Linked DNA regions of Pelodiscus sinensis. Each later gene encodes a partner of the first gene's protein in a complex. Links are inferred from orthologs where the notes say so. Each region holds a gene or a part of one and is shown on either strand. Other genes may lie near its edges.

The links.
Region 2: CMC1 (region 1) and SMIM20 share a complex: the UniProt entries of both Homo sapiens proteins name them as parts of the MITRAC (mitochondrial translation regulation assembly intermediate of cytochrome c oxidase complex) complex. The link is inferred for Pelodiscus sinensis from reciprocal best matches to the Homo sapiens genes CMC1 and SMIM20.

The regions. Positions count from the first base shown.
Region 1 is NC_134712.1:186,367,339-186,383,932, reverse strand, and holds the start of CMC1 (COX assembly mitochondrial protein homolog), read left to right. Parts: upstream 1-8,747; 5' UTR 8,748-8,787; coding exon 8,788-8,881; intron 8,882-16,594. UniProt on the Homo sapiens protein: Component of the MITRAC (mitochondrial translation regulation assembly intermediate of cytochrome c oxidase complex) complex, that regulates cytochrome c oxidase assembly.
Region 2 is NC_134715.1:101,588,904-101,604,485, reverse strand, and holds the start of SMIM20 (small integral membrane protein 20), read left to right. Parts: upstream 1-7,812; 5' UTR 7,813-7,887; coding exon 7,888-7,996; intron 7,997-15,582. Other genes in the region: SEL1L3 (protein sel-1 homolog 3), read right to left, coding at 4,863-4,925.

The DNA.
Region 1 (16,594 bases):
ATTTCCAAAAATATGTGGATGCTATCAGCAAGGAGTTTTAAGCACCGCTTATCTTGTGTTTATTAGAAAAAGACCTTCACTAAAGCAATCATGTTTTTGTCAATCACACAAATGTCTTTTAACTAATACGTCTATCAGAAAATATTGTGAATGCTGAAAAAATAATCACATTTCAGTTAACTTTCATGTTTTAGTGAGGCATCTCAATGGACTCAATTAAAAGCTTCCTCACAAGTCTCATTATGTGAATGATCATTGGTTCTCATATGGGTTTCTCCATAAGTGAGATTTTATCAAACACAGGTAGTGCTGAAACTTTTTACCATCATCTTTATCTGGTTTATCAGAAGTTGGCAACTGTTGTTTGACCTACTTAACTTAGAGAGCAATCCACTTATCATGCTCTAGTTTTTGTATTGCTACTTGAGTAATACAAAACTGGTGACATGTTAAAGCATTGGGTAAGCTATAACTTAACCAGCGTAAAGCCTTTTAGTGACATGGTTATCTATAAGCATGGTTTGTGGATTCACACAATATAGTTAATAATTAATTATAGCACCTAATCATGTTTCTTCCTTGCTAGAAGCACCGGCTGGCATGTGGTAGATTATGGCAGTTGAGCACTCTCACTTTTGGTAGGTAGATGTGACCATTTAACCATGCCTGTGTACATAATGTGGCTATCCACCAAACTTTAGGGCATTCACCTGTCTCCTATCCAAACTAATATTTTGGTCTGTCTTTCTGATATCAACTTAAGGATACCAAGGTGTGTGTTTACACTTAAAAATAGAGCTTTTATTCTTTTCCTTCTAAGCAAGGTAAGGATTTGGTTGTGCTAGGACAATGGGATTTGCTTTGAATAAGATTGTTTTTCATAAAACGCAAAAGGAGGGGTCTGCTAGCAGACACAGTTATCCTACAGAATGATCACTGGGGGGCAGACACACTGGTAGAAAAGTAGGCAGCTGGGGGAGGTGCTCTGGATGTTGGTGGCCACCGTACACAAGTAAGGTTCCCATACAGGTGAGTTACCAGTCAGGCAGCATGGCCTCCTTGGCCCCATGGATCTGGCACCTGCCCCACTTCCATGGCCAGCCCCAGAGAACTGGCACCCAGAAAGCATGGCCTGCGCCACCCCTGCAAGTCCCAGGGATCTGGTACCTGGCCAGCATGGCCCCCAACACCCTGTATTGGCCAGTCCCAGGGAGTTGCTGCTCAGGTAGTGTGACTCTGCCACCCCAGGGGTTGGCCAACCTCCTGCCCTGAGCTCCCACACTCCTAACTCCCCTGACCTGACTCCAGCACTCCCCAGCCCCTACCAAGCCACTCCAACTCTGACTCCTAAGCCCCCATACTTCCACCCTCCTGCCCTGATCCCTTCCTCACCCTCAAGACTGACTTCTGCATACCCCCCACACCCAGCACAGAGCCTCTCCTCACCCCCCCATCTATGAGTTCAGCACCACCCCACATCCTCAAACAATTGCTTTGACTTCTGCACCCCCCACACTCCCTGCCCCATCCTGAGCCTCTCCTTAATGACCTAAGCCAGTGGTCCCCAACATGGTGCCCGCAGGCACCATGGTACCCACCGGGGCATTTATGTGCATCCGCTGAATCATCTGGGTTGGCCCAGCACACGGCATATGCGCGGAGCAAGCCCTGGGCACAGAGCGCATGGGCGGCCCCTGCCCTGGGCGTGCGGCACACGCGTGGTGCCGACCCTGGGCGCAGGGGTGGCCCCTGCCCCAGGCACGCAGCATATGTGCGGTGCCGGCCCCGGGTGCATGGCACATGCACGGTGCCGGCCCCAGGCGCGCGGCGTGTGCACAGCTCCGCCCCCGCTCCTAAGCAATGCCCTGCTCCTAAGCAATGCTGGGAAATGTGCTAGTGTTATACTATATAACAACTTACTCTTCCACATTTCAGTCTCTAAGGCTATGTCTACACTACACTGTTCTTCTGGAAAAAGCTACGCAAATTGCGAACCACAATTTGCGTAGCTTTTTCCACTTCTTTTTTCAGAATAGGCTTTTCTGACATTTGGCCTATCTACACTGGGCCAAACGAAGGAAAAAAACCCTTTTTCAGAACATCCCTTCTTATTTGCAAAACAAAGTTTACAGGGATGCCAAAAAAGCGTATCTGCTCAGAAAAACTGTAGTGTAGATATAGCCTAAAAGTTAACATACTTTCAGTAACTAAAGAGCAGTTTTAGACACTAGTAAGGTCCCTTTCAGCCCTACAATTCTATCATTCTAACTGTATGAGGACATCACTTGTTTTGTGTGGGTACTCCCAGTGTCAATACCATTCACCATTCAAAAAACTATGGGCTATCGCAAAGATACTCTTAAAAGGCATTCTGGACCAAACTCAGCCCATAAAAGGGAGAGTTTGAATAACTCTCTATACTTCTTTAATAATCTATGTTTGAGCTTTCTTCAAGGCTGTTAATGAAAATTGTCAACAAGTATTTTAATATTTGTCCACCTGCAAACCCTTATACACCAATCCCGCTCTGCAGCTTGAGCACCAGGCAGGTGGGCTGAGCTGTTTGACCCTACTCCCCAGCAGAAGTGTTGGATGGGCAGGCAGAACAGGACAATCACTGTAGCTGGAGTAGAGCCAGGGCCATGGGGGTAAGCCTGGATGTAAAATTTACACCCCTGGCTATGCCCCTCCCATATGACTGGAAGAAAATTCCTTCAAATATGCAGATGGTCCACCTTCAAATCCTTAAAACTAACCTATGCTATAATGCCTACAAAACAGTGGTTATGACCACTACTTGTAAGATGACTCTTGATATCTGTTTCCTTGTTATCTGTGCATCTACCGCTCAGCATACCCTTCAATTGTAAACTCACTCATACTTTTTCTTTTCATTGTGACACCAGTGCTTAGTACGGTGGGACAATACCACGTTAGTCCAGCTACTAAATAGTAAGTAAGAGGATGCTCTCTAGCCTTTGTAGTCTGGTGCAGTGTATCTCAACCTTTTTTTTTTTTTTTATAAAGTACCCCTTTAAAAAAACATACCCCCCAGTACCTACAGTTCTCAAACACACAACATTTTTTTCTATCGTTGCAACACATTTGTCTAAACAACTTAATCATAGCTGGGTGGGCAATGACATTTTTGGGTGTAAAAAGTACAAAAATAATAAAATGCTGTGAAACTTAAAACAAAAATTCTGTTTTCTCCAATTTTCAGTTGTTTTGACGTACTCCCCAGACTTCTCTTGAGTACCCGTGGTTGAGAAACACTGCCATAGACTAGCCTAGTACATGAGTTTGAGGTTATCGCTTAAACTGTCGTAAGTGATAACAGATAAACATACTTCTGTAACTCTTGCAAGTTGGCTTCTCCCTATCGCCACCCTCACCAAAGCATCATTGCTGAATTATTGTACTGAAGTACAGACGGGGCGCTGAAGCTAGGGTTGCCAGGTGTCCGGTATTGTACCGGACAGTCGGGTATTTGCATGCTCTGTCCAGTAAAAAAAAACAAAAAATACCAGACATGTGCAATGTCCGGTATTTTCTGATTTATCCGGCTGCACATCGGACAGAAGCATGGCGTGGGCAGGGGGAACGGCTGGGAGTCCGAGCTGGGAGGCGGGGCAGTGATTGCTGCTTGGAGCCCTCTATTGGTTGAGTGTGAGGAGGAGAGGAAGCCTCCTCCTCGCTCCTGCGTCACAGGGAGCCTGCGCCAGACAGGCAGCAAGTGCTCAGGTCAGTCCCACTCCTCGTGGGCCAATTTGCTCACCCCCCCTTCCTGGCCGGCCAGTTCTCCCCCATTTCCCCTCCTGATCTCCCCTGGCCAGCCTTCCTGCACCACCCCCCAGCTCTGCTTCCTGCCGGCCTGTTCCTCTTCCTTATTTCCCCTGGCCAGCACTGCTGCACCTCTCCTCTTGCTCCCCCCACCCGACTGCACCCCTCCCCCCCCAGCCAGCTACGCTTCCCCTTCTTCCCGGCCACCCTCCTGGCCCCTGATCCCCCCCAGCTATGCTGCCAGCCCCCCCTTACTTCTGACCAGCCCCGCCCCCTTCTGGCTGGTCCCTCCTCCCCCGATATCCCGTGGCCAGCCCCATTCCACCCAACTCCCCCCCCACGACCAGCGCTGCTTCTCGTTCCCCCCCATCTTCCCCTGGCCAGTCCCATTGCCACCCCCCCCCCACTCCTGGCCAGCATCACTCTCTTCCTGGCCGGACCCTTCCCCTCCCAATGAAGTGTGTTCTGGGTTTTTTTTTAAATGATTACCTGGTAACCGCTACCAGTGATCCAGGTTCTCGGAAGTTGTGTGTGTGTGTGTGTGTGTGTGTGTGTGTGTGTGTGTGTGTGTGCTGGTTTTTTGGGTTTTTTTCCTCAACAACTTTGGTCCCCCTCCCGCCCTTTTTTTCCTTCAACAAATTTTTTTCCCGGTGGGTTTTTTTTTTTTTTTTTTTGAGGGGGGCGGTGTTCGGTATTTTTCTTTCAGCCCTCTGGCAACCCCAGCTGAGGCAGAGAGCAAAAGTGGCTTGTCCAGGCCAGGCAGTGAACTGGTGTCGACAGCGGGATCACCACCAAGCTCCCCAGCCTGGCGTGACTCCGCGAGCCGCTTCGTGCCCCCGGACACACGGAGGCGATAAGTCCTTAGTACTGCAGTGGTTCGGACCAGGCGGGCTCCCTAAGGATTTGGGACCAACCGCCCGCCTCACAACAGCACACGACCCCACAACCGCTGCAAGGCCGCGCGGTTGGTTGCCAGCGCATGCGCTCTTCTGGCGTGGCGCGCACGCGCTCTCTGCCCCGCCTCTCTTCCCTCCGCTAGGGCGCGTGCTTCTCCGCCCTGTCCACGTGCCCGCCGGGTCGCCCCATCTGCGCGGGCAAGCGCGCGCCGCCCGCTTCCGCGTTCTGCCCTTGGGAGCACTTTGGCGGTCTGCGCCTGCGCCGCGGGCGTGGACCTGTCTTGGGAGTGGCTATGTGCTAGTGGCGGCTGCGGTAGCGAGGATCCCCGCATGGAGCCTTCTCCGGGCCCAGCAGGTAGGGGCGGACCCCCCCTCCCCCCCGCGCGTGCGTGACTCCTGCAGCGGGGGGGGGGGGGGCAGGAACAGCAGCGCCCGCTGCTGCCGCCGCCTCCTGGTGCCGCGCTCTCACCGCCCCGGGAAAGCCCCGCGCGCCTCGGGGGTCGGTGGTGGGAGGGGAACGTGCAGGCAGGTTGGCTTGCGGTGCTGCCAGCTGGCGTTAAAGGTCACGCTGCAGGGCGCGCTGGGGAGCGAAAGTAACCCTGCTGTTTGCCTGCCTTGGGGCCAAGTGGGCCAAGCTGAGTGCTAGGATGAGCTTGGTTCTGCCGGCGGGTTGGATGTTACCTTTGGCCCTGGCTATACGAGCCCTGCGATACTCAGCCTGTTCTAGAGCAGGATCCTCTCTCCTCATCTTAGGAAAGTGGGGAAGGCAACATGGCCATTATTTCTTGGTACCAGCCAGTGACTTTCACTTGCTATCGCCAGCAGCAACAACGGGTCAAGTCTTAAGATAGACAAGGTGCTGGCAGCTGCCTGACTCTTAACTCTGTGCTGTGCAAACCAGTTTTGGGCAGGGTTCAATGACCGTGTTACTGAATTATCAGCATGTAGTCTATATTAGCATTCCTTTTGCTCCCACCAGAGGCCGTAGTATTGGGGAATGTGAAGAGGAACCTATAAGCTGTATTTACATTAGAACGAAGTGCTTGCCTACACAGACAAATTGTGTTGATACAAGTTAAGTGTTGTATTTAAACCTATATTATATTTAAAAAACCTCCACGTGGATGCTATTATTCTGGCATAAGAGGGTCTTTTCCCAGTTTGTTTCTTGGAAAGGAAAGATAAACAAGCTTTTTTTATACTGGAATACTATATACACAGCTTTATTTCAATATAGTTATATTGGTTTAACTATATATAAAGCCATGTTTATAATAGGAGTGTTTTACCATATGTGTACAAACATTTGCATGTACATGCTCCATACTAGTGGTGTGCAATCACAATTTTCATTGTCTTCATTTTAAAAGTTGTGTGCCCTTGTTTCACATACATTGACTATACCAGTGAAGCTGAGCCAACAACAATGCTTAAACATGGGTGTTGTTACCAATTTTCTAAAACATTATCTATTGCCAGTGTATGATCAAAGCTATTTTTTCAGAGCATTACTCTACCAAACACTGCCACTAGTTAGAAGAGTACAGGCAGTCCCCGGGGTTACATGGATCTGACTTGCATCGAATCCCTACTTACAAACGGGGTGAGGCAACCCCGCACTAGCTGCTTCCCCCCAGCAGACCAGGGAGACGCGGAGCGGCTTTTCTCAGCAGACACCTCAGCTTGAGACTAAAGGATTGAGAGAAGTGAGGTGTGGGAGAATAAAACTGAGCTCTGGAGAAATGTTTGGCTAGAGTTTCCCCTACAATATGTACCAGTTCCGACTTACATACAAATTCAACTTAAGAACAAACCTACAGTCCCTATCTTGTATGTAACCCGGGGTCTGCCTGTACAGCAATTTTTATAACATTCTTAAAATGTGTTTACACAGTAGGGATGTTAAATATCAGTTAATTGAATAGTTGATTAACCTCGTGAATTCTTATCAGTTACTCGATTATTCTATAGTTCCCGGGGGCGGGTGGGGGGGGGGGGGCAGGAAGGGGACTAGCAGCCAGTGTGCTCCGGTCCCACTCCCAAAGAGCCCCCTGCTTGGGGTGCTCGGCAGGAGCCAATCCACAAGGGGAGCCCGTTTAAAAACCAGTTCCCCTCATGGGCCAGGTGCCTGTCACCCCCACTGCTGCCTCTGATGCAACTCCTGTCTGGGGGGTGGGCCTGAGCTTCTGGATCAGGTGCATGCCAAAACTGAGCCGGGCTGTCTACCCACCTGGCTCTTAATACACTGTAAATGCAGAGCTGCAGCAAAAGTAGGTTCTGGACCTGGCGTGAGTCAGGACTGAGCCGGGCTGCTGACCAGACGGCTAAAAAATTAACAGGCAATGTGGAGGAATGCATGTAGTTTATAGCATTAACCTATAAGCTTTTGCTTGTTGGTTAATTGGTTAATTGACTACACTATTACATCCCTATTACCAGAGCTTTCTGCTAAGTTTAAACTTTATAAGTATGTATATACCTAAAGCAGGGCATTGGAACTCAGACGTCTAGCATCGACAAGACCTTGGGGCTTTTCTACACAGGAAATTTTTGCCAATAAGCTAGGCCTCCATTGCAGACTTCTCCCAGCACAGCAGGGCAAGGTGTGACAAGATGTGATTACTAACCAACATGGGTGCTGAAAAACTAGCTATACCAGCAATGCTACACTTTTATCCGTATCGCTTATTTCACTTATTTGGGGCCTTACCATACCAGTACTAGGGACATAAAAGGTTAACCCAGAAGACCCTCTGCAGCAGCTCCCTAGAGGGCCTGGCCACCCTCTTCCCCTGCCATAACACCTGGCCGCAGGTTACGGGCTGACTCACTGGGAGCTGCTGCAGAGCCTGCAGCAAAGCTTCCCTGGGAACAGGGCTGGCAGCAGAGCCTTCTCCCCAGGAGTGGGGCCATCAGCAGCCCCTGCTGTTCCTGCACCCAGGAAGGCGGCTTTGCTATGGCAGCAATTCTTCCTCCCAAGGGTGCCAGCCCTGCTCCTTGGGAGGCTACACAGCAGGCTCTGCAGTATAAAGCTTATTTAAGCTTTATACTGCAGGGCCCACAGCTGTGTAACCAGTAACCACTTTGATTTTTAGCGGTTACACCGTTACATTTTTAACTGTGTTTTTACATCCCGTGTGTGTTTGTGTATACCAGCATACTTGACTAGCAAAGCACAGCTAAAATAGTAAATGAACACTTTGTACTGGTTAGGGATGTGAAAGCTTAACTGGTAATGCTTACCGGGTGCAGGGAGCTGCTCCAGCCCCTCGGGGCTCACCATGGGCAGGGGCTGCTCCAGCTTCCTGGAGAAATCTCTGTTGATGGCACCCCGTTCCCCACTGCAGGTTACACGCTGACTCCCTGGGAGTGGGGCCAGCTGCTTTTCTGTGGCAGAGAAGCCGCCTCCCTGGGAGTGGAACTGGCAGGGACTGGCAATCCTGCTGCCAGGGAGGCTTCGTTGCAGGCTATGCAGTGTAAAGCTTATTTATTAATCTAACAGTGCTTAACATTGCTTGTTCTTTGCATTCATCAGTAATAAAAAACTGCATTTTATCTGTTTTTATTCTGCAGTTACACTGATTGGATGGCAATGAACATACTTTTGAACTTCCCAGGATGCATTTGGGAAATTGTTATGCAGTATGAGGCAACCCTTGGGTTAATCTGTCACGCAATGTTCCTCTCTGAAACTGCCACAACTTATGAACGAGTTACGTACCAAGCACTTGGTCATAACTCGATCTGTTCGTAAGTCGGATTACATTCACTTACGTATGGCCGCGCTGTTCATAAGTGCAGCTTTCGTTCGTAACTCAGATATCGGCTGTATAGGAGGCTGATCGTAAATACAAATGGTCGTAAGTCGATGCATTTGTAACTCAGGGACCGGCTGTATTTTGTTTTCTACAGGTTGGACCTCTCTGGTCTGTCATCCTTGGGATCTGACTGGTCCCGGACCAGGGGTGGTCCCTCCCCTAATGGTCCATGCTAAACTGCTGTTCCCCTTCCCCTGCTGCTTTCCCCATTGCTCCCTGACAAACCCTCACTCCCTGAGCTAGAGCTCTCCAGCTCCCATTCTCCCAGCTTCTGCCAGGGCCGGAGCTGCATGGCTGTGGTGCGAACTTCTTGGCTGCAGTTGGGGCTGGAGCTACATGGCTGGGGCTGGAGCTTCACAGACTACCCCCCCACAAGACTTCTGGGTGAGTCTCTCTCTCCTGCTTCACTTCCCCCCTCCCCCCATGTTACTGGCTCGTGGCCAGACCTCCTTACTCCTGGAATCTGTGGTCCAGGAACATCTGTAGTCCTGCCAGACCACGGATGTTGCTGGATCTGAAAGTCCTGGCTAAGGGAGGTACAACCTGTAGTGTATCGGTTTTCATTTTTTAAAATGAAACTCAGGCTTTGTCTGATTGCTCTGCAGTTTGGATTACTATAAAAGTGTTAATAGCAGCAGGTTGAAATGCTGCCACAGAACTCCCCTGTGTAGACCCTACGAGTGTGAACTGCTTTGCATTAATATGGTTCAGTTTGAAGAGGACTGTGCTAATGTAAACTAGGAACTCTAGTTTTGATCACATGGGGAAGTTACAGCACAACACTTTGATCTACACTGCTATTCACTCCCCACTAGTCCTAATTGGGGGACAGTGTAGGCAAGCATGTAGTTGCTGTTTGTTATGTTGAGAAAAAAACATCAAAATGTTAACTAGGTGCAGCTAGAATAGAGATATCTGTGTCAGTTTGAAAAGAGACTGGAGCAATAGCTGAGAAGTGTGAACTGCCCCATTCATTTCAGTGTGTTTACTCAGATCCTAGTGTGGTACTTAAATGTCAACATAGTTAACTATTTAATTTTGCATGTAAGGAGAGGAATAATCGCATGTCTGTACAATGTTTCCATGAGTCATGTCTCATTTTAGTGCCACAAGAAGTGAGGTGATGGTGGGCTACCAATATCACTACATACTATTTTCACCCATTAAAAAGAAAACCAAGTCCAGCTTGCCCAACAGAGCCCGTGGATGTACGGGAGCCCCTCTGAAGAGGAGAAAAGCTCTAGGAGCCTTTGAAGTAGGAATAAGAGATCCTCCAGAATAGGGCTTTATTCCGGAGGATCGGGCCAGTCTAGATGCTCTTTTCCGGCTTTTCTACAAGCTGGAAAAAAGCGGCGGATATCTTTATTTAAATCCCGCGGGGGATATTTAAATCCCCTGCAGATTTCCCTATTACGAAGTTTAAAATTAGCATGCCCCTTTCGGAAAAGGGGCCAGTGTAGACGTAGCCCTAATGTATGAAGTTACGTACTTAGAATTTTTTCAGGGAAGGCTCTTGCCTTTCTTGATGGCTATGCTGCACTTCAGTATTATGTTCAGTTAAAAAGTCTTTTTAGGGACTCAGTTTCTCATTATACACTTACAAAATTTGAGGGCCAGCTGCACTATTCTACTATGTGAATGGTGTAGAGTCATGACACATTAAAAAGATAGTGGAGGAAAGGAAAGACATTTCAGTGTAAAGGCAGGAAAAGACAAGGAAGCTAAGAGTTAGAAGTTAAAGAGTAGAGAGTCAGGAATAGAACTGGAGAAATAGTTAAAGGATAATTCAAAATGGAAAGGAAAAAGAAGAGTGGTGCAAGAGATAATTCAACAAATAGCCTTTTTAATGGCTTTTCATTTTTATTTCGTTTCTGTTAAGTAGAATAGAGATTCGGCACAGAAAAGAAATTTTAGGAACAGTCCACTTTCAAGATGGAAAATTGGATAACAGCCTTTCTGTGTCTTGTTTATACCCTGGCCAAAGGACAGAGAAGTGTTTGATGGAATGTTCTGGAACTCCTCTGGGAAATAAGATATCAAATAAATAAATTATATAAGTACCTGGACAGAGAGTGAAGTAGTATGCAATGCAGTTTAAAAAGATTCTTCACAGATGAACATACTATAACCCCAGAGTTCTCACCCTTTTACATCTCAGGATCACCTATATAGCAATATGCGAAGAGCAGGAATACACAACTAAGTGTGTTTTGACCATTTAAACTGGTATTTAGAGTCCTGCACAGATACATATATGTGGATCCGCCTCCGCCAGGCTCATTCTGTTATCTGATCCGCAAGCTGGATTTTATCTTCATACACATCTGCAGGGTGGCAGCAGCAAGCTGTCTTTAGAGGGTAGGTGGGAGGAAGCACAAATGAGTGAGGAGGGGACAGGGTCTTGCAGGGAAGAGGGAGGCAGCATGGGAACAAGGACTCTGAGTAAGGAGCAGCATAAGGGCAGGATGAGGGTCTCAGGTAGAGGTGGGAATGGATTTGCATTGTGTGCTTTTGCTGCTGGGGTGGGGGGTGTTCATCAGCAATGGTACCTGGTAGCAGCAGCTTCTGTGAGATCACAGCAGGGCAGAGGGGTACAGAGTTGGGCCGTCGCCCGCCCCAGTCTCCATGGCAGAGGGTGGGCCGTGCTGCCCTGCAATTGGCCGAGCCTAGGGCACTGCACCCGCTTCCCCCCATAGCTCCAGCCCCACAGAGCTGGACCCTCCCCTCTCTGAACAGGGCAGCTTGCTGTTATGCTGAGAGTCTTCCTCCTCTCCCAGAAGTGAGCCACCTCCCCCATGCATGCTCCCAGCTGCACTAGATGACAGTACGGAACAGCAGTGTGGGGCAAGTGGGCCCCTGGTTCGCCACAGGTCACTGTTGATTGGGTGTGGGGGCAAGGCTGGTACTCAGCTTCTTGTGCAGGGAAATTTGGGAACCAGTTGGCACTCTCTCCTTGCTGGCAGCAGGGGGCCTACGCTGGCATCCTGCCTTAGCTGGACAGCCGGGTACAGTTGGAAGAGACCCCTGTGCAAGTATTGGTGCCATTATCTGTGAAAATGGTCCATGGATATCCGCATTTGCGGTTGTGAACCGGCTATCCAGAGCTCTAACTATAATACATATATATGTCAACTTACTGTCAGCCGCCTTGATTTTTTTGTTTTGGTGCAGCCTGGAACTGGCTATTCAAGGTGATTGTGCTGCAAAGCAAATAGAAAGCGGTGTGTAGATACAAGCAAAGTGAAGAGTGAATTAGTTAAGCACATAGTTAAGAGTTTCTCTTCTTAGACCTTAGTGCTGGTTCACAGCAGAAATGATAGGATCAGGTTCCTCTATACGCGCTTCCTTGCTCTTAATTTTTAAAATTTATGCACAGCACTCCTTATCTGGGCCTTGAAAGAATATACTGTAGGAGGATGCTCTCATTTAGCAGCATTTACCGGATCTTGAAAGAGAGAGATTTGTGATTAAATAATATTTTTTAAAAGAAAGCATCCTTGAAGATTTGGACTTAAATTGAAGAGTCTAGTCTAGCATTTTAGACAGGATTTCTTTACACAAAAAAGTATTTGTAAAATAGATTGAAAAGTCTTCAAGAAAAACCACCAAAAATAAATGGGATAAACCATAAATAATTACCGGTATATTAGTAAATAGGCACATAAACAGCACACTCAGTCGCTGATTGGAATTGTGTGGTGAAATCTAATCCAACAATACCCCATCTTACTCATATTTCTGATTTAGTTTTGATGCCATTAAATAGTTTGGCTTCCATTTCCTGCAAGTTTTTCTGCTTATCCAGATGTTGTTTATTTTTGTTTTCACTGGAGATGTTAATTTTATGCTACATTCTCATTTTACCCCATGAGCTTTGTTTGTTATAAACATATAGCATTTTTTAAAGAGTTAGTCACTGATTTAAAGGCTGTATTCCAAGTTGTCTGTTTGCTCCTAACAGGAATGGAAAATGAATGGCTTCATGTTTTATGTACACAAATTAATTCACATTACTTGCACACTTTTTTCCAATTATGCTGTCATACTTGGGACGTAGAGCAGCTCTCATATTTTCAGTTGCACTATCAAACCATCGTCTTACCTTTGGGGAGTTCTAAACACCATGTTCTGCCAAGAATTTTTCATCTAAGGGTGGTGATGAGCTAATAAATGCAACAGTAACTATATCAAGGGTATATTGGTAATAGGAATGTTACTCTTGGGACTGCTGTTCTGGCAAGAGAAGCTGAAGTGTTCAGGTTTGACTGGAGGAATGTTAAACAGTGTTGCACCTGGGACTTGATCTGCACTGATGCTGTCATTTTATTCCTGCTGTCGTATTTGTGTATATCTGCTGACTGTAATATCACCCATGTAGAGAGTGTGTCTGTGTCATACATAGAATACAAAATACGTTAACAGAATTTTAAGTCACAAAGACAAAAGTTAGCAAATGTCAGAATTAAGTGCCTGTGCTACCTTAGCTGTTAGCATTTGAGATTTATAGCTGTGTACTATTCTGTGGTCCTGCTGTCCAGCCTACCTGTCTGCTCCCTATCTCCACTCCTTATGGAGACAAGAAGAGCAGATGGGGGTCAAAGAGGCAGTGCGAGAATGGAATTACATGGTGGAGGCCTGCTCCAATACCAGATTCCTTACCAGTTTCCTGCCATATGTGCATCTGTTAGGCTGGATGGGTAGTCTTTTCCAGGCTGCTCATGCATACTTCAGCCAACCAGCTGACCCTCCATCACTTCTCCTTGGCCATCAGGAAGGAATCCTGGCCTGACAGACATGAGAAGCTCTGTGAGCCTAGGTCAGCTCTTGGTGAATCTGAGTAGTAACTATTATGTCATGGAGTAAGTGCTTGCAGGATGAGGCCCTTAATTATATCCTTACTATTAATAAGAAAATAGAGGATGGATTCAGCGCTGGCACTTTTCTACTCTGGATTAGGAGTTGTCTTCTGAGGAACTTCTTTGAAGTATGTTTCGCTATATTTGTTGTTAAGCAAATACCTGGCTATTTGAAACCCCCATAATTAACGAAAACATGGCATTTTGCATAATCTGCCTTTGTTTCATCCCAAGTATTATAGTATTGCTGAACTGATTTCTGACTTACTGCAGTGTAGCCATTGTGGATTTCTAGCTAACATGCTTGTCAGTATTCTTATAATCCAGTACTGCCATATTGCAAGAACACATGAGCCCCAAAGCAAAATGTAAGATAACAAATTCAGCCAGTGAAAAAGGTGAAAATTGACTTCGAGGTGATGATAGAATGGTGAGAAGTTAGAGCTTCGGAAATTTTCCCTGGTGTTGTCATCCTTGTACTCTATCTTAATTTGAATTGATGTGAATATAGGATAGAAAATCTCAAAATCTGTGGGGTTTAATACAAAGATATATGCTACCATAGGTTTTAAGAAAATCCTAAATATACTGCCGTATAGAGCAACTGCGCTAACCAGACTGTTGAAAATAGTTTTAGAATATCAGGGTTTTCATGTCAAATGTTCACTTTGTTTTTATATCCTTTAGCTAATAATCAAAATGTCATTAGTAAAGAGCAAGCAACTTAGGAGCCCAATCCTGCAAACATTTATACACAAGTGGGCCCTCTGAACTTCATAGGATCGCTCACATGTCTAAAATTGCTCACTTACGTGTTTGCAGAATCAGATCCTAAGATCCCATTTCTGCGATGGGCTCTTCACAGGTAAATGTCTGCATCCATTTGAGCTTCACCACCTTCAGTGGGACTCTGGGTGGCTCCTGTTCTTGCAGTATGACAGTACTGGATTATAAGAATACTGACAATGGGGAGCTCATGCTGGCACTCCAGCCTGTGTTGGTGGGGCGCACCAGTGCTGGCTCTACAATGCTGGGGTGGGGGAGCCTTGAGTCTTAGGAGCCAGATTCAGGCAAGCCATGTGCCAGAGCTGGTCCCTGGGCCATAGGTTCCCCACCCCATGGGAGAATTTCCTTTCACTTTTCCTCTTTGATACACCAGTAATGAGGACCAAAAATTCTAGCATAGACAGAGCAATATTTCTCTCTCATTTGTCTTTTATAGGAGCAAAGGAAAAGAAAGATGCAAGGTTATTTAAATAGCAGCCTGTAAAGCTAGTTCTAACTAAGAAGGCAACTGTTAATGGGGTGAAGTTCCAAAAAAAATACACCTCCAAAACACTGCCAGATGGAGGTTAATAAGCAAGGCAGAGGTAGGTTTGGTGGCCACCAGCAAGGTCCAGGGAATACAAGCTGATGAGTTGGTCTGATACAAACTATATAGCAGCCATAAAATGGGAGAGGGTATTTTCATTTATCAGAACGCTATTTTTGCAGGACCTTTACTGTCATAACAGTCTTTGGCTACGAGCATTTCTCTCATAAATGTGGAAGTACTCTTTGCTTTAGGTGTTGGCCAAAAAAAGAAGCAGGTTTTTTTGGGTCTCTTCCTCCTCAAGAGCCTCCTGACTATTGTAAAAGTCCCCTCTACAATATTCTTTTCTCCATAGCTTCCTGACTTCTGTGCAAAGGGCGAGTGGCAATATTACAGGTGCTCCATGTTTTTCAGTTCCATATGGTTTCTATGTTTTTCTAGACTTAAGTCCTGATACTCTGGTCCTTGTAGATGTATCTATTAGGGATGTTAAATTTTGATTAATCAGCTAATTGAGTAGTTAATGGAATTTCCATCGACGACGTGGTAAGTTGATGTGGGTGGAGGGGCTACTACATGTGGTTCTTACTTCATTTAAAAGGCAGAGGCGCAGCAGTGGGGTCCTGGCATGAGTGGGGACTGCTTCAGTTCCCACTTACGATGTTTTGACTGCTGCGCCTCTGCCGCCCCTGCCTCCCTGAGGAGATGAAGCTGGTTTCCCTCCCAGCATTGGCTCCTACTCCCCCATTTGCTGCCTCTGTATCAGAGGCAGCCAAGGGGGGAAGCGACTAGTCGAGTAGTAACTTGATTACCCGATAAAAGTAGGCTTATTGGGTAGTTGACTAATCGCTTATATCCCTCGTATCTATTTTCTTGGTTTCCCTGTTTTTAATAAAAATAATAAACTATTGTTAGGAATAGAATGTTTTGTAATGAACTTATTAGAATAGACAGAAATTTCAGTTTGAACAGTGAACATGAAGAACAGTGAGTCTATTTTTGTGGAAAGGTGTAACATTGTTGGAAATGGCAGAAGGCTTTGAGGACTTCACAGCATGGTTTGTGATTCTATCTTCAGACTTTCCCTCACAAAGTCCTGCATTTTGTACATGGTAGCTGTTCTTAGAAATAATTTGAGGCTGAGCTGGCTTTTTTTTTGGGTCTTTTGAGTAAACAAGGCTTAGAGAGAGAATCGCTTAGGGAGAGAGTGATGGAAGAGGCGAAAAAAGGGGAAATGAAGTGGCCTCAAAAGACAACCTTTTTGATGGTAAAGCTCACTAGTTATTGCTGGCTACTTCGTATGCCTATTTGTGAATACCTCATTTCAATTTTCATTTGTATATTCTAAGTCAAACACTTATTTGGAGTATGAACAAGTCTGGGAAGTATAACGGTAATGAGTTTTTGTTTTTACAGTTCTGGTTTTCTGAACAATGATTTATGCAGACTAAGAACTGGGCATTTAAATAGACTGTCAAGGATGGTTTGTAGAACTGTGGTGGACAATAGGCTTTTCTTGACATTTCTTTCAGTTAAAGATTGAAAAGTGTACCCTAATATGTCTTTGAGTTTGGGGATGAAAAAGAATATAGTATTTAAATAGTGTATGTTGACAGAAATACTAATTTTACTTGGAGATATGGATTCCATCATCACAGAGGGTTACATAAGAACTGGGACTGTGTTTTAAACATGGAGTTCGGGTCATTTGTATTTATTTCTGTTGATTAAACTAATTTTAAACAAGTAATTTTAGGTTAAGCAGCCTGTTTCTTTCTAATTTTATAAACAAACTAAAATACAATTTAAAGTTGTGCTTGAATGTGTTATGTTTTCCCACTGTTAATGAGCTAGGAATGCAAGAGTTAAACTGGTTAACCAGTAAGCTGATGCTTATCAGTTCCTGTTAATTGTTAAACTTTGTGGGTG
Region 2 (15,582 bases), on another chromosome or scaffold:
CTGGTGGGATTTTTCTGGACTTGGGCCTCATCCGGGCTGGGAGCCCCTTTTGGTATTTGAGTCTCCAAACCAACACACTACACTGATTCTCATTCCTAGCCCTTAAACCAGGCAGGCAGAATCAATACACAGTTCTCCTCACTGAGCTTCTTCCTACTTTTTTTGGTTCTGTGGGCTTCTTATGCCTATGGTTCTGATCATCCTTTCTTTGTGGGATTGTCTCTGGGTAATTTCTCACCAGTTTGCTGGAATGATTTTTCTTCTTTAGCCTGTTTGCTCCTCAGGCAGCCACCCAATCCCTTTGCATCTCTGGTCTTTTATTCTCCCAGCTGCTGTGAGGCTGTCAATCAGAGCTGCTTGGGAGTTGCTGCATTACCTCTGGTTACCAGGCCAGCAAGGGGGTTATGTAAACCTCAAGACAGGCACTATTAAGTGGCAAAATTCTTGACAATTTCACTATTATGCACGTGGTTTGGCACAGAAATAGTAAAACAGAACAGTGTCCTGCTAATTTAACAGTCTAACTCTCCACAGAGTCAGAATGGCAACACTGCATTAATTTATAATGGATTCACATAGTTATTTTCACATCCATAAGGGTTATAGTATTTTTCTTAATTTGAGGGGCAGTTAGACTTCACTGATTTTTACTGCAACAGTTCTATCACAACCCAGATTTCAGGGGAAGACCCATATTCACCTGTGATGGGTGAGAAAGTGGACTTTTAACCTATGAAACATCACTGATACTAGGCAACAAAAAGAAAAAAGGCTGAGGATAACGAACAAGTTGTTGGGGGGGGGGGTTCTTAATATTCTTGGATCAAATTCAGCTCTGGAGAAACTCCACTGACCTCAGTGAAACTGTATCTGTTTACACAAGATCTGAACATGGCCCACTGTTCTCTATTGGGTCATGCTGAATTTTAAGATGCGTGCAAATGATCCAATATGAGCACAAAGGGCTCATTCTATATCAAAAGCAAAACAATCCCCAGTGACTTCAGTGAGAGGCCAAGAGAGTAAAAGCAGAGTCCTAAAATTATGCTGATTTAAATTGTGGGTGCCATTAAAAGCTCATTATTTACTACCACCTAGGTATTGGCAATAAGGATAATAAGTTACTTGTAAAAGAGGAGAATCCACAATACCACAATCCCTCAGGAATGGAAAAGGTTGAGTTTTTAATGGCACTTACTGCACAAAACTTATCACATTAATGTTATCACTCATTGTTTCCTAAATCAATAATGTACACTAAGAAAGTGGTTTTCAAAGCATGGGATGCGACCCAGTCCTGGGTCACAGAGGGTATGTCTAGACTGCATCCCTCTGTCGGCAGAGCGATGTAGATTAGGCAGGTCGACATTGCAAATGAAGCAGGGATTTAAATATCCCGTGCTTAATTTGCATAAAAATGGCCAACGTTTTTGCCGACTCAGCACTTTGTCAGCAAAACGCAGCAGTCTAGAGGGGGATCTGTTGAGAAAGAAAGCCTTTTTCGACAGATCCCTTATGCCTCCTGGCAAGGGCAGATGACTGTTTTGCGGGGCCCCGGGCATCATAACTCTGCGGGGCCCCCCCTTTGCCATGGCGCATGCGCCGTGACGCCATGCGCATGCGCGGTAGCGCCACAGCGCATGCGCGGGGCTTTTTTAAGCGCAGAGCCCAGGGCGGCCGCCCCGTTCACCGTGCCCTATATCCGCCCCTGCCTCCTGCGTATGAGGAAAAAAAGTTTGAAAATAACTGCAAAAAGAAATAGTGAACAACTCCTAAGTTTGTATAAGAGGAGATAAATATGTCTGGCCAAAATGAGGATCCTCTTTTAAAAGGTCACATTTTTAAGATTAATATCACTACAGAGTTAACAGGCAATGTGACATTTCCCACTTTATAATTTGTAACTGTTGTTGTAAGAGGCAAAGATGGTAATCTAAAACCTGATTTAGGAGTAGGCAGCAGAGATAAACACAGTCTTTTCTGTAGGGGTAGCACAGGCAGCAAACATGTAACATTCTCAAGATACATTTTGACAATCAGATAAGAAACCAAGAAGAGAAGTTCCCCCCTCCTTTTATGCATACAAAAAATAGCTACATGTAATAATAATTTTAAAATGGTGTCAATAAGAGTTATGTATGTTGCCTGTTGAAGGGCACAATAATTTAGAAATCTGAAGCCAAGTTCTTTTACAAAGCAGTAGGTCAGATGTTCAGAACCAACAACTGGGGCCAGATTTGGAAAACTCCCATTTAAGCACCTACATAAAGCCAGTTTTCCAAAAACATTCAGGATACAGCATCTTGGCTTCCAGATTAATGTTTATGGCCAGGTTTTATAGCACTGAACTCCTTTGAAAATGTGGGCTTGATTGTGAAGCGCTGAAAATCTTGTGAAAATCTTGCCCAGGGTAGTTAGTCTTCATTAGGTATAAATTACCAGATTAATGACTCACAACTCTTCAACTCTTAATCTCACACACTATCCTTCATCAAAATATGAGTACAGGTTGAAGAATATTCAGATAAATGTATTCAAAATTGGCAGGGCTTAATGAGATCCATCCTAAGATAGTTAAAGAACTCACTGAAGCAATCTCAGAACCATTAGTAATTATCTCAAAAAATCCTAAAGAACAGGATGACGTCCCAGAGGGCTGGACAAGGGCAAACATAGGACCTATCTTTAAAAAGAGGAACAAAGAGGATTTGGGGATTACAGAACAGTCAACCTAACTTTGATACTTGGAAAGACACCTGAACAAATTATTAAACAGTCACTTTATAAGCACCTAGAGCATAACAGGGTTACAAGAAATAGCCAAAATGTATTTGTCAAGAACAAATCATGTCAAACCAATCTCATTTCTGTCTTTGTCAGAATCACTGGTCTAATGGAGACAAGATATAGCTTGATATTAGTGAAGCTTTTGACACAGTCCTACATGACCCTCTCATAAGAAAACTAGTTAAATGTTATCATATTACTATTGGGTGGGTGGCCAATAGAAGATGTGGACTTACAAGGAAAGGTTAAAACAACTGTGCCTATGTAGTCTTGAGAATGGTAACAGTCTTCAAATATATTAAGGGTTGTTACAAAGAGGATTGTGATCAATTGTTCTTCATGTCCACTGAAGGTAGGACACGAAGTAATGGCATCAATCTTCAGCAAAGGAGATTTAAAGATTATGTAGTACCAAAAACTTTCAAGCTATAAGGATAGTTACGCTCTGACGTGGTCTTCTAAGGGAAGCTGAAGAATCCCCATTTCTGGAGGTTTTTTATGAACAGGTTGAACACGCACCTGTCATGGATAGTCTGATTTTACTTGATTCTGCTTTTGTGCAGGGGACTGGACATGATGAATTCTAGAGGTCCCTCCCAACCCTCTATTCCTAGGATTGAAGTGAATATAGCCCTATGGAAAATAATTGGATTCTTCTTTTTAATAATGATTGATCATGAGTAGGAGTCCAGGACCCTGGACAAGAATGGTCCTTAAGTGCTTTTAATATGCGATCTAGATTTGTAACTTTTTTATGCTTGATGGCTGAAATATAGATCTGTGAAAAAGTGACAAGTAAGTGTATAAATTACTGTGCAAATGATAAAAATATAATTTTCTAGATTCTAGATATATACATTTAATTCTGTAAATAAGCTAATACTTTGTTTAAAATACTGTCAGTTGAAAACTAAAATATTCTGGTTTTTTTTTAAATCAGTATTAGAAAAAATTGGAAGAGGTGGCAGGGGAAGTCATCATCATCATCCCTGGGAATAGAAATCAGAGTATGTTTTGATGAGGGTTGGCAGGAGGGTGGTGTGTTGACAGGAGAGGGTGCAGTTGGGTAGGCACAGGGGAAAAGGCTCTTAAGGGAACAGATGTGTATTTTGGGGCAGCAGAAAAAAAGGGAAGAAAGAGAAGGATTATAAAGGAGCAAGAGGTGTGTGGTAGTGGGGCAGAATAATGAAGAGATGTCAGAGTAGAACCAGGATTTTTGTGCATTGGAGAAAGGGCATTCATTAGGGATATGGGTGTGGCAAATTTACTGGAGATATGTTTGGGATTGTACTGGGAGTATGTTGGAGTGGATAGAGGGGTGTACTGGGGTGCAGGAGAGCATTGGTAATGGGTTGGGGGTGGATGGAAAGATAAATGTACTGGAACTGTGTCGGAGTTCACAGAAGGAAGTATGAACTGGTTTGGTGGAGTATACTAAGAGTGTATTGAGGTGGACAGAGGTATGCATATTGGATGTATGCTGGGGTGGATGGAGAAGTGCAGAAGGATGTGGCTGTATTAGCAATGTGGGGTGGAAGGAGAGGTGTATAGGAAAGGAAGAGTGCATAGGGAATGTGTTGTGTTGGATAGCGTGTGTATTGGGACAGGGTATTGGGAGTGTGTTGAGGTAGGTGGAGGAGTATACTGGGACAGCTGGAGAGCTGTAACTGTGGGTGTGCTGGAGTGGATGGAGGAGTATATGGGGGCTTGCTGGGGGAGCATTGGAGTGCGCTGGGGTGGTGTAGGGGGTGAGCATTGCTGGGGGGTCATTGGAGTGTGCTGGGGTGGTGTAGAGGGTGACTAGGGACTGTGCTAGGGGGTGCATGGAGAGAAGTGTGATAGAAGCTGGGGGAGTACTGGGAGTGCGAGGGGTGTGATGCGAAGGGAGGGAGAGAGGATACCGGAGAGCACAGCGGGCTCCTGCCCAGCTTCCGGGGCTGGCAGCGACAGAAGTGCCTGCTGCGGGGCAAAGGGGCTGGCAGCCCAGCCCAGCCCAGAGCCCCCGGCAGTAGGTCCCGGCCAGCCCCGCAGCGGCGCGGCAGCAGGTGTGCGGGGAGTGGGGGAGGCGGGCTCACCAGCAGCCAGAGCAGAAGGAGGCCCCCACGGGGCACTGGCCGGGGCTCCGCTGGGCGCCACATGGTTCCGATGGGGCTCAGGCGCCGGCTGCTCCCATGGGCGACGCGGGGCCGGCACGCGGCGGGTCGAGGCCCAGAGCGGCACTTGCTGCTGCAGGTCGGTGCCGGCTCAGGGCAGCCAGAGCGCGCGGCCGCCGGGGGAATCCGGCCACGGGGACTAGGCAGATCCTGCTTCCTGGAGCTCAGCCGCTGCGGGGGGAGGAGGCTCCGCCCGGGCGGGGCTGGAGTCTCGCTGGGCAGGTGCAGCACGAAAGGACGAGCCGAGCTGGGGACGCCAGGCGCACCTGCTCCTCCTTTGTTCCCTCCCTCAGTCTCGTTGACCTTCCCCTGGGTGTAACGGTGTGGAGGGGGACAACCCGCTCGTTTTGCTCGCCCCTAGAGCTATTTATCTGAGTCTGTGGATGCTGCTGGGACTGCCCAGCACTGCCTGACACGCTGGCCTGTGTATAGTGTGAATTGTGTGTATTGTTTCTCCTCCAACTGCCGCTCTCGGGATGGGGGAGTGGGAGAAAGGGAGAGAATTAAAAATACCTTAGTTTGCAGGTGCTCTGAGCCTCTGATAGAAGGGCTCATGCATTTACATGGACCAAGAGTTACAATGATTTGTGCTAACACATCACAGAAATCTCAGAGGGGTAGCCCTGCTAGTGTGTAACATTACAGAAGAGCTATTAATTCTCATGCTTCAGGATTTAAAGTTTAACCAATTGCTGTTAGAGCCCACGATGGGACCTACGTGAAACAGATTATTTCAAAGCTGTTGCCGTGGGAGTTCTTGCATTTCGTTCTGAAGCCTTTGGTCCCGATGTAGATACACACCCCGGCCTCTGTCAGATACTGGATTAGCTGAACCTGGGAGCTTGATCCATCTAACAGTTCCCATAATCTTATGCCTGTCTTTAGGTTTCCTGGATTTTTTTGCCTTAATAGACTTCCCATGATGACTTCCTCAGGAAGCCATCAGTCAAATAGGAATGCCAGTAAAGAGCTCTGAGAACATTTGTCACATCTCTAGAAAAGTGCACCTTGTAATTGTATTAGTTATTAATAATAACCTCAGAATTATAGAAATTACAATAAAAAGACATTGCATGGTCTGAAATCCTTGGTACATGTTATTACTATTATATTATCTGCATTATGCTAGAGCCTATAGGAAGTTAGGAACTGTCCACACACATAGGAAGGCATAGTAGCTACCATGAACAACTCACATAAATTGTACTATTTACTTATACTTTCAAACTTAAACATATGGCATGACTGTGCCAATTTAATAATAGAGATAAAATTATTGTTTAATATATGTTCCTGAAACATTGTAATTAAGAGCTGCATTAGATGATGAAGTTCAATATTATCTGTCATTTATGTACACCCATAGAAAGACTTGTAGGCTTCCTGCCCTCCCGGGACTAAGGCCTTGGTCCTAATCAATATGCTTTGACAGATCTCTTACAGATATGTGGAGCCCTTAATGCAGGTGGTATGTAGGGCTACACGAGGTTCCTTTACTCTCTGTTGAATTTTAGCCTTACAGGATATGACCCTTATTCTGCTCCCCATCAAATTCCCACCAGCTTCATTACCAACAGGATTTGGCAAATACTACTTCCCAACATCTGAAGTATTGTACTATGTACAAGTTCTGTCATTGAAAACACTTGTATCTGTCTGGAAAGGACACAGCCTTTAGGTTGACAAATATGCCGTCTTCTCATACTACAAATACTAGTCCTTTTTAATATCCAAAACTGAAAATTTAGTGTATACCATTATTTTCCATTTTTATGATGCAAAATAAAAGCCTGAAAAGTTTTGGGTTTATTTTTCCTTCTAAGAGCATTGGAAAACCTACTTTTTACATTAAAGATTCAGATTGTGTCCAATGTGCTTATCCTAAAATTGTAGATTTATGAGTCACCATTCAAGTGAAAGTTGATTAAAGGGACAATGACTTTTATTATTCAGTTTTTGAAATATATACAACTCTAACACCTTATCACGCAGGGCAGAAAAAGCTGTAAAATATTGAACATTATCTTGCCTTCTGTTAAAAACTAAGAAATCTCTTATCCTTATCTGGTATGTCCAAGAAGACCTCCAGCAAAACCAGCAAAGACTGACAACCTTAATTGATATTTGTTATACATATAAAAAAGCAGAACATAACCTTTTCTCAAATAAATCTTCCTGGCAGAAAATGATTGATAGTGCTCTTACAAGTAATTTCTTTCTTTGCACAGGTTACATTCAAAGTACCCAAGGAACTGGATTCCGGGACAAGCAGTATCGGGCTGGTTATCTGCAAAAAAGCCACTTTGGCATCTTTGGAGAGATAAAAATGTAATACAAAGCTCACGAACTTAGTTTGCTTGTTCTACTGTGTCTGAAGGCACAGGCACGGTGATGGTGGAACTACGAAAAGATTGGAGTCAGAATGTATGAGTGGTTTCCATGGGGTATATTATCATTCACGTCACGGGCTGTCAAATGGTGTTGAACAGCTGTTCTATTGCGCTCAGCTGACTGCACCCCTCTCCCCCCCAGTTCCTGTCTGTCTGTCTGTCTGTGCATCCGACGGGGCTTCTGCACCAGCCCCATCGCTACCACTGGAGTGCAAAGCCCGGCGCACGTCGCGGCCTTGGAGACGCGTGAGGCCCCCGCTGCTGCCATAGCCCCGCCAAGGAGCCCCCATCCCGGCACAGGCCGCACTGAAGCGAGGTGACGAGCCCCGCCCCCCGGAGCTCGCAGCCCGCCTCTAGGACGCAGCGGGGGACGCGCCCCGAGGCGCCTGCAGAAGTGGGGGGCGGGGCTGCCACAGCGAGGAAGCGGGAGACTTCGGGAAGGGGCGGGGCTTAGCTTCTCAGTGGCGCCTGCACTTGCCCCGGAAGCGGAAGCGGGTAAACTGCAGTCGAAGGTGAGAGGTCAGAGGGTGGAGGTCTGCCCCTCGCCTTGCCTAGCTATGGGGCGACACTCCCGCACGCTGCTCATCTTCGGCGGGTTCGTGGCCGTAGTGGGGGCGGCGTTTTACCCCATCTACTTCCGGCCGCTGCGGCAGGTGGACCAATATAGTGAGTACGGCCCCGCCGAGCCTGGCGTGAGCCCCGCGCCGCTCTCCGCGCAGCGCCCCTCACCCTCGCTCCAGGCGCCCAGCTCCCTGTCCCCGCCCTCCCGGCCGTGCCACGGGCCCCAGGGAGCAGCCTCCCCGTGGTGTATCCGCCACCGAGCTCCCCTCCCTGTGTAATCCCTGGGCCTCGCCCTCACGCCCCCTCTCTGTGCTGCTCCCTGCCCTGCAGACAGCGCTTCGTTTGCTCAGTGATTCCTCCCTGACTCGCCTAGTCATTACTTGGGTACAAAGGGGTAACCAGTAAACCAGCCTCCTGCCCGCGCCGGTTAACCAGGTACCTTTTAAACGGGATTTTACATCCTTAAAAACAACGAATAGTCTGATAGCATTTTAAAGACGAACGAAACATGTAGATGGTATTGTGAGCTTTAATGGGTGCAACCCTGTTCTTCATCTGACTATACTTATGGGCCAGAGATTCATCTTCTGGTGTTTGGTTTAGAGGGACTACTAAAGACCTGCTCAATTAAATTATGAGGGCACTGTCCGGTCACCACTGCTACTCCTTGATTCACGAGGAGTAAGGGAAGTTGACGGGAGCATTTGCTCCCGTTGACTTCCTGCTATGGAGATAGCTCGGCTTAAGGTACATCGACTCCAGCTCCATTATTTATGTTGCTGTAATTGTATTTATGTAGTTGTAATTAAGCCAGCCTTCCAAGTGTAATATAGATCTGGTTTTAGCACTAGGGATGTTGAAAATCGTGTAATAAGATAGCTGCGTAACTTCTGAAAATCTCAGTGGTTACATGGTTACACCTGCTGTGGACTCTGCAATGTAAAGCTTAGCTTTATACTGGAGGGCCCACAGCAAAGCCTCCCCAGGTCTGGCTCCTGGGGAGGTGTGGGGGCTTTGCTGTGGCACCGAATCTTTCTCCCCAGGATCAGAGTGGGTAGCCCTTGCCGGCCTGGCTTCTGGAGAGGAGACTTTGCTGCCTTTTCACAGCAAAGCTGCCTCCCTGGAGAACTGAGCGCAACTGACACCAATAAGAATCCATTTATCAATTAAATGGCTAACTGGGTACACTTTAACATCCCTACTTGTATCACTAATCCTAGCATCATCACCCCCAAATAATTCTCTCCATGCTGCATACTGAAGTGGTTGATGTGACTTCAATAAAGCTTTTGATATTGTCTCTCATGGCCTTCTCATAAAAAAACTAGAGACATACAGCTTATATGGAGTTACTATGTAAGGTGGGTGAAAAACTGGCTGGAAAACCATTCCCAGAGAATAGTTATTGGTGGAGTGATGTTGGAAGGCCATAACGAGTAGGATCCCACAGGAATCAGGTGTAAGACTGGTTCTGTACATTACCTTTATCCATTGTATAGATAATGGCATAGTGAGTACACTTGTAAAATTTGCAGATGATACCAAGTTGGGAGGACTTTGAGAAATAGGATTAAAATTCAAAATTATCTGGACAAATTGAAGAAATGGTCTGAAATAAATAGGATGAAATTCAATAAGGACAAATACAAAGTTCTCTACTTAGGAAGGAAGAATCAGTTGCGCACATACAAAATGGAAAATGATTACCTAGGAAGGAGTAGTGTAGAAAGGTATCTGGGGGTCATAGTGGACCACAAGATATGTATAAATCAACAGTGTGACACTGTTTGTTGCAATAAAAATAAATATATATATTTCTGAGATGTATTAATAAGAATGTTTTCAACAAGACGTGAGAAGTAATTCTTCCACTCTACTCTGTGCTGCTTAGGTTTCAAGTGCTCAGTTCTGAGCACCACATTTGAGGAGAGATGTGGAAAATTGGAGAAAGTTCAGAGAAGAGCAAACAAAAATGATTAAAGGTCTAGAAAACATGACCTATGAGCAAAGATTGGAAAAAATTGGGTTTATTTTGTCTGTAAAAGAAAAGACGTGAGAGAGCATTATAAGCGTTTTCAACAACATAAGTTGTTACAGAGAGAGGGGGAGAAAAATAGTTCTGCTTAATCTCTGAGAGAAGGACAAAAAGCAATGGGCTTAAATTGCATCAAGGAAGGTGTATGTTGGACGTTACGAAAAACTTCCTGTTAGGGTAGTTAACCACTGAAACCAATTGCCTAGGGAGTTGTGGAATATCCATTATTGGAGATTTTTAAGAGCAGGTTGGACAAACACCTAATGGTCTAGATTTGGGTGGGGAAACTTTTGGGTTTAGGGGGCTGCTGATCCACAGAATAATCAGTTGGGGGCAAAAACAAAACAAAAAAAAACCCCTCACTCACCTGATCCCTGACTGAGAAGGGGAAAAGGCACTCCCCACATTCCTCTTGCAAATCAGAGCCTAAGACCCAGAAGGGCCCAGGCTATTAGATTTTATGTGCTCCAGTCCTGTGGTGAGATAGTGGGGGAGCAAGCTGCGGGCTGGCCTGAGGCTCTCCACCCCATTCTAAATAATATTTAGTCCTACCATGAGTGCAGGAGAACTGTACTAGATGATATCTTAAGGTCCTTTCCATTTCTATGATTCTACGTATGGTCTCTTGGAATTACTGTTGTTTAAGACATTTTACTTGAGCAGTAGAATGGTGATTTAAAAAAAAAATCTTTTATATTGTAAACTGTAGTGTGATTGTGGGTTTCATATCTATAACACTTGCTAGTTTGCTTGCTAGAGAGCCTCCCATGGTGTCTGGAATATACATATATAGACACAGAGAGCAACAAACTTACTAGAAACAAGCTAGTACAGGTTGAACCTCTCTAGTCCAGAATAAGGATGTTAAATGCGATTATTTGGCTAATCATATAGTCAATACAATTTGTCAATAAACACTTCTGCAGAGCCGCAGCAGGGGTAGCTCCAGAGGAGCTGACTCAAGCCAGGACTGAGCAGTCCTAGCTCATGCCCACTCCAGAGCCACCTGTGCTATGGCTCTTCATTTTAAATGCTGGGCTCTTACTACATTTAAAATACAGAAGTGCAGCAATCAGCATGAGCTGGAACTGCTCAGTCCTGGCTTGCGCTGAGTCCAGCAGTCCCTGAGTGCAGTGGACAGTACTGTCCACCGCAAACAGGGGCTGGTACCAGAACAACCTTTGTTTGTGTTGGCCAGGTCTGGCTGTGGGCAGACGCTGCTCAGGCAGCAGTCCCTGTTCGTGACCAGCCCTGGCTGCCGCCAATGGGCTGGTGCCAGAACAGCCTCTGTTTGCAGTAACCAGCACTAGCTGCTGTGAACAGAGAGTGCTCCAGCACCAGCCCCTGGTCCTGGCCAGCGTGAATAGGGGTTGCCTGGTGGCAACAGCCCCATCTGCAGAGGGCGGGGGCAGCTCCTCTCTGGGACCCCTGTGGACAGCTTCATCCCCTATCTTCCTCCCCTCCCCCCCACTGCCTCTGATGGGGGAGGGAGGGCAGATGGCACCCTGGAGACGGTGCTGGAGGAACTGGCTTTTAAGCTGCCTTCCCCCAGCACCAATTCCTGCCCCCCCTTGCTGCTTTTCATAGAGGCAGCAGGGGGGAGGGAGGAGAGGAGAGGAGGGCACCAGAGAGCATGGAGCAAGCGGGGACTGCTTGAGTCCCTGCTCATCCTGTGTTCCCTGCAGTACTTCTGCTTTTGAAATGTGAAGCGCCTGTAGTAGGAACCGGTGCTAGCAGGAACTGAAGCAGTCCCCACTCGCACCATTTCCCGCTGTGCCTCTGCCTCCCGCTGAGACGGCTTTAATTAGTCAACTAATCAAATAGTCACTGGAATTTCCATTGACTATTTGATTAATCAATAAGGGCACTTCTGCTTTGAAATGTAGCAAGAGTCCACTGGGCTGTTGCTACGTTTCAAAGGCGGAAGTGCCACCTGTTGTTCCACCTTTGAAATGTACAAGAGACCCAGCAGCGACTCTTGTATGTTTCAAAGATTGAAATGCTATATGGAGCCTGGCTGGAGAGGCAGCAAGGAAGGGGAGCAAGTAGTTGACTGGACTACCTAATAAGCCTATGATTATCAGGTAATCGACTGGTTGACTACTCCCTTACATCCCTACCTGTGAGGCATGAACATATCTTGAAATCTGTATTACTTCAAGCCCACACATCTCCCCAGGAACCAGTCCCGAGGAGGCTTTATTTAATCTGTATTATTTAAAAAAATCTTTTCTTCCTCCCCCTCAATTCTGAATAATATTGCAGTAGAAGTGAGTTTTAAGGAGTGATTTGAATGAGACAGAGGAGAGTATTTGAAGCTTGAGAGGTGCATAAAACTTCCCATAAGTATGCTACATAATCTTTATTTAATGTGAATTTAAGGGATAATTTAGTTACTATTTATGCTAACTCGAGTGACTAGAACATTGTAAGTATTTCCTTGAATGCTAGTCAAACTATATTATCTATCTTCTTTATTTTTTATAGTTAATTTTTTAGAATATGGTACTTTTCTAATGTACTGTTCCTTTGTCTCTTAAATCATTTTTAAACTTGCTGCTAAACTATTCTATAAACAATTTTTTAAAAAGCAATTTGTTTTAATGCATGACTTATCTAAGTCAAAAGTGTTCTGCTGTTGCAGAACCAGCAGGGGGAGCATAAACTAACTTTCAGTTGATTTCAGAGTTGATTGTTGTTTCAACATTCACAAAGAGCCATATAACAACTTAGATGAAAAAAAGTTGCAAAATATAGATCAAATTTAAGCACAGAAATTTTATATTAATTTTTAAGAAGGGACAACTAATAATGGACGACAAAGGATCTGATTGCTACATTTTACATTTCTGTTCTAACACAAATTTTATAGTGATTCATTGATTAAAAGAATTTTAAAATATTTATGAATCATAGAAGGGAAAGTGTAACATTAATTTCAGAGGGACCTTCATTTTATTTCAGTTTAAATGTCATGCTGATTGGTAAGAACCTATGATCTGTTTGAGAATCTGCACTTACTCAGACTGAAGCTTCCCATAAAGATACATTTTCTGTTCTAGCGGTGAGGAGTCCTGTGGCACCTTATAGACTAACTGAAGTGTAGGAGCATAAGCTTTCGTGGGCAAAGACCCACTTCGTCAGATGCATGCATCTTTGCCCACGAAAGCTTATGCTCCTACACTTCAGTTAGTCTATAAGGTGCCACAGGACTCCTCGCCGCTTTTGCAGATTCAGGCTAACACGGCTACCCCTCTGATATTTTCTGTTCTATTTCCTATCAAAAACTGATCATTTTTCTCTATATCCTGTTCCTTTTTACATTGCAGTTTTAAATATAAATTGCACACACAACATTATAAGGAACATGCTTAAGGTACAAAGTCAAGCATTCAAAAGTTCAGAAATGCTAGAATTAAGGTTGCCTGTTCAATGTTAATTCACTCCCCCTTGTCCATATACATTTTAATATAGTCCATCTCCCTGCTCCTCATGTGATGATCCTACTAATATTTCCACTTCTAGTCCCAGCCTGCTTCTCTTGCTCTTTAGCTTCTATTTTTAGTCTCTTTGGCCAACAGATGTCAGTCTCCTCTTCCCTGTCTGTCTCAGTTTCTCTCCCTCTCACTCTTCTGAGTGAGGGAGGGTGAAGCTGTGGCAGATACCAACAGAAATTTTCCATCCAGATATTTAAACGTTGAACATCATTACAAAGAGGTTCTTTCTATTGGGAAGTGCCTTAATTCTAGAATTTCTGAACTTTTGAATGCTTGACGTTGCACCTTAAACATGTCCCTTATGTTGTGTGTGCAGTTTATATTTAAAACTGCATTGTAAAGAGGAACAGGATATAGAGAAAAGTGATCAGTTTTTGATGGGGAAATAGAACAGAAACTTTAATGTGCAGTGCTACTATACTAGCCCAGTCTATAATAAGATACATTATAATATTATAAAACCACACTCCCATTTTGTAAAAATGACTATCCTGGGTCAGACTAGTGGTCCATCTAGCCCAGTATATTGCTTTCCATCAGTGACCAGTGCCAGATACTTCAGAGGGAATGCTGAGAACAGGCAATTATTGCATGATCCATCCCATTGTCCAGTCCAGCTTCTTGCATATGGATGTTTAGAAATACACGGAGCATGGAATTATATCCTGACCACTTGGACGAATAGCCATTAATGGACTATTCATAAAAATATTGGATTCTTTTTTGAACCCAGTTATACTTTTGTCCTTTTCAACAACCTATGGCAATGAGTTCCATAGGTTTACTGTGTGTTGTGTGAAGAAGTACAAGTACTTTCTTTTTGTTTTAATCTTTCTGCCCATTAATTTAATTGTGTGATTTCTAGTTATTGTTTTATGTTAAGGAATAAATAACACTTCCATATTCATTTTCTCCATACCATTCATGATTTTTTAGACCTTTATTAGATTTTCCTTTTATGATTCTCTTTTCTAATTTGGACAGTTCCAGTCTTTCTTTTAATCTCATCTCATATAGAAGTTGTTACATACTCCTAATTATGTTTGTTGCCCTTTTCTGTACCACTTAGAATTCTAACATCATTTTTTTAAATGGGGGGGAGGGCGCAGGGTGCCCAGATCTGCAGGCATTATTCAAGGTGTGGATGTACTGTGCATTTATATACTAACATTATGGTATTTTATATTTTATTATCTATCCCTTTTCTTGTGGTGTCTAACATTCTGTTTGCTTTTTTGCCTAACATTGCACATTGAATAGATGTTTTCAGAGGACTGTCTATAATGACTCCAATATCACTCTTGAGTAATAACAAATAATTCAGATCCTACCATTTTGTGTGTATAATTGGGATTATTTTTTCCAATGTGCATTATCTTGCACTTATGAGTGTTGAATTTCATGTGCCATTTTGTTGCCTAGTTACTCCATTTAGTGAGATCCCTTTGTGGCACTTTGCAGTCAGCTTTGAACTATCTTGAGAAATTTTGTGTCACTTGCAAATTTTGCCACTTACTGTTCACCCCCTTTTCCAGATCACTAACGAATACATACAACAGCACAGATTTTTGGGGGGCCTTCTGTACCTCTCTACAGTATGAAAACTTACCATTTATTCCTAGATTTTATTTTATATCTTTTACTCAGTTACTGATCCATGAGAATACCTTCCCTCTTATCACATGACTGCTTACTTTACTTGATAGTTTTTGATTAGGGACCTTGTCAAAGGCTTTCTGAAATCTGAATGCATGGTACTGATTGGATCATCCTTGTCCACATGTTCGTTTGACTCTTCTCAAAGAATTCTAATAGATTAGTGAGGCATAATTTCCTTTTAAAAAAAACCATGTTGACTCTTTCTCAACATATTGACTTTGTCTCTGATACATGTTTGTTAATATAATTTCAACCACTTTCTTTGGTATCAAAGTTAGGCTTACTGGCCTGTAGTTGCCAGCATCATTTCTGAAGCTATATTAAAAAATCAGCATCCTGTTCTAGGTATATCACCATGTAGTCAACTATATGGTTAACTGATAAGCCTAGGTTTATCGGTTAATCTTGACAACTACACACATTTTCCTCTCTCTCCCTCGCTGCCTCTCTATCAGTGGCAGCAAATGGGGAGAAGCAGAAGCCAGTGCTGGGGGGAGCTG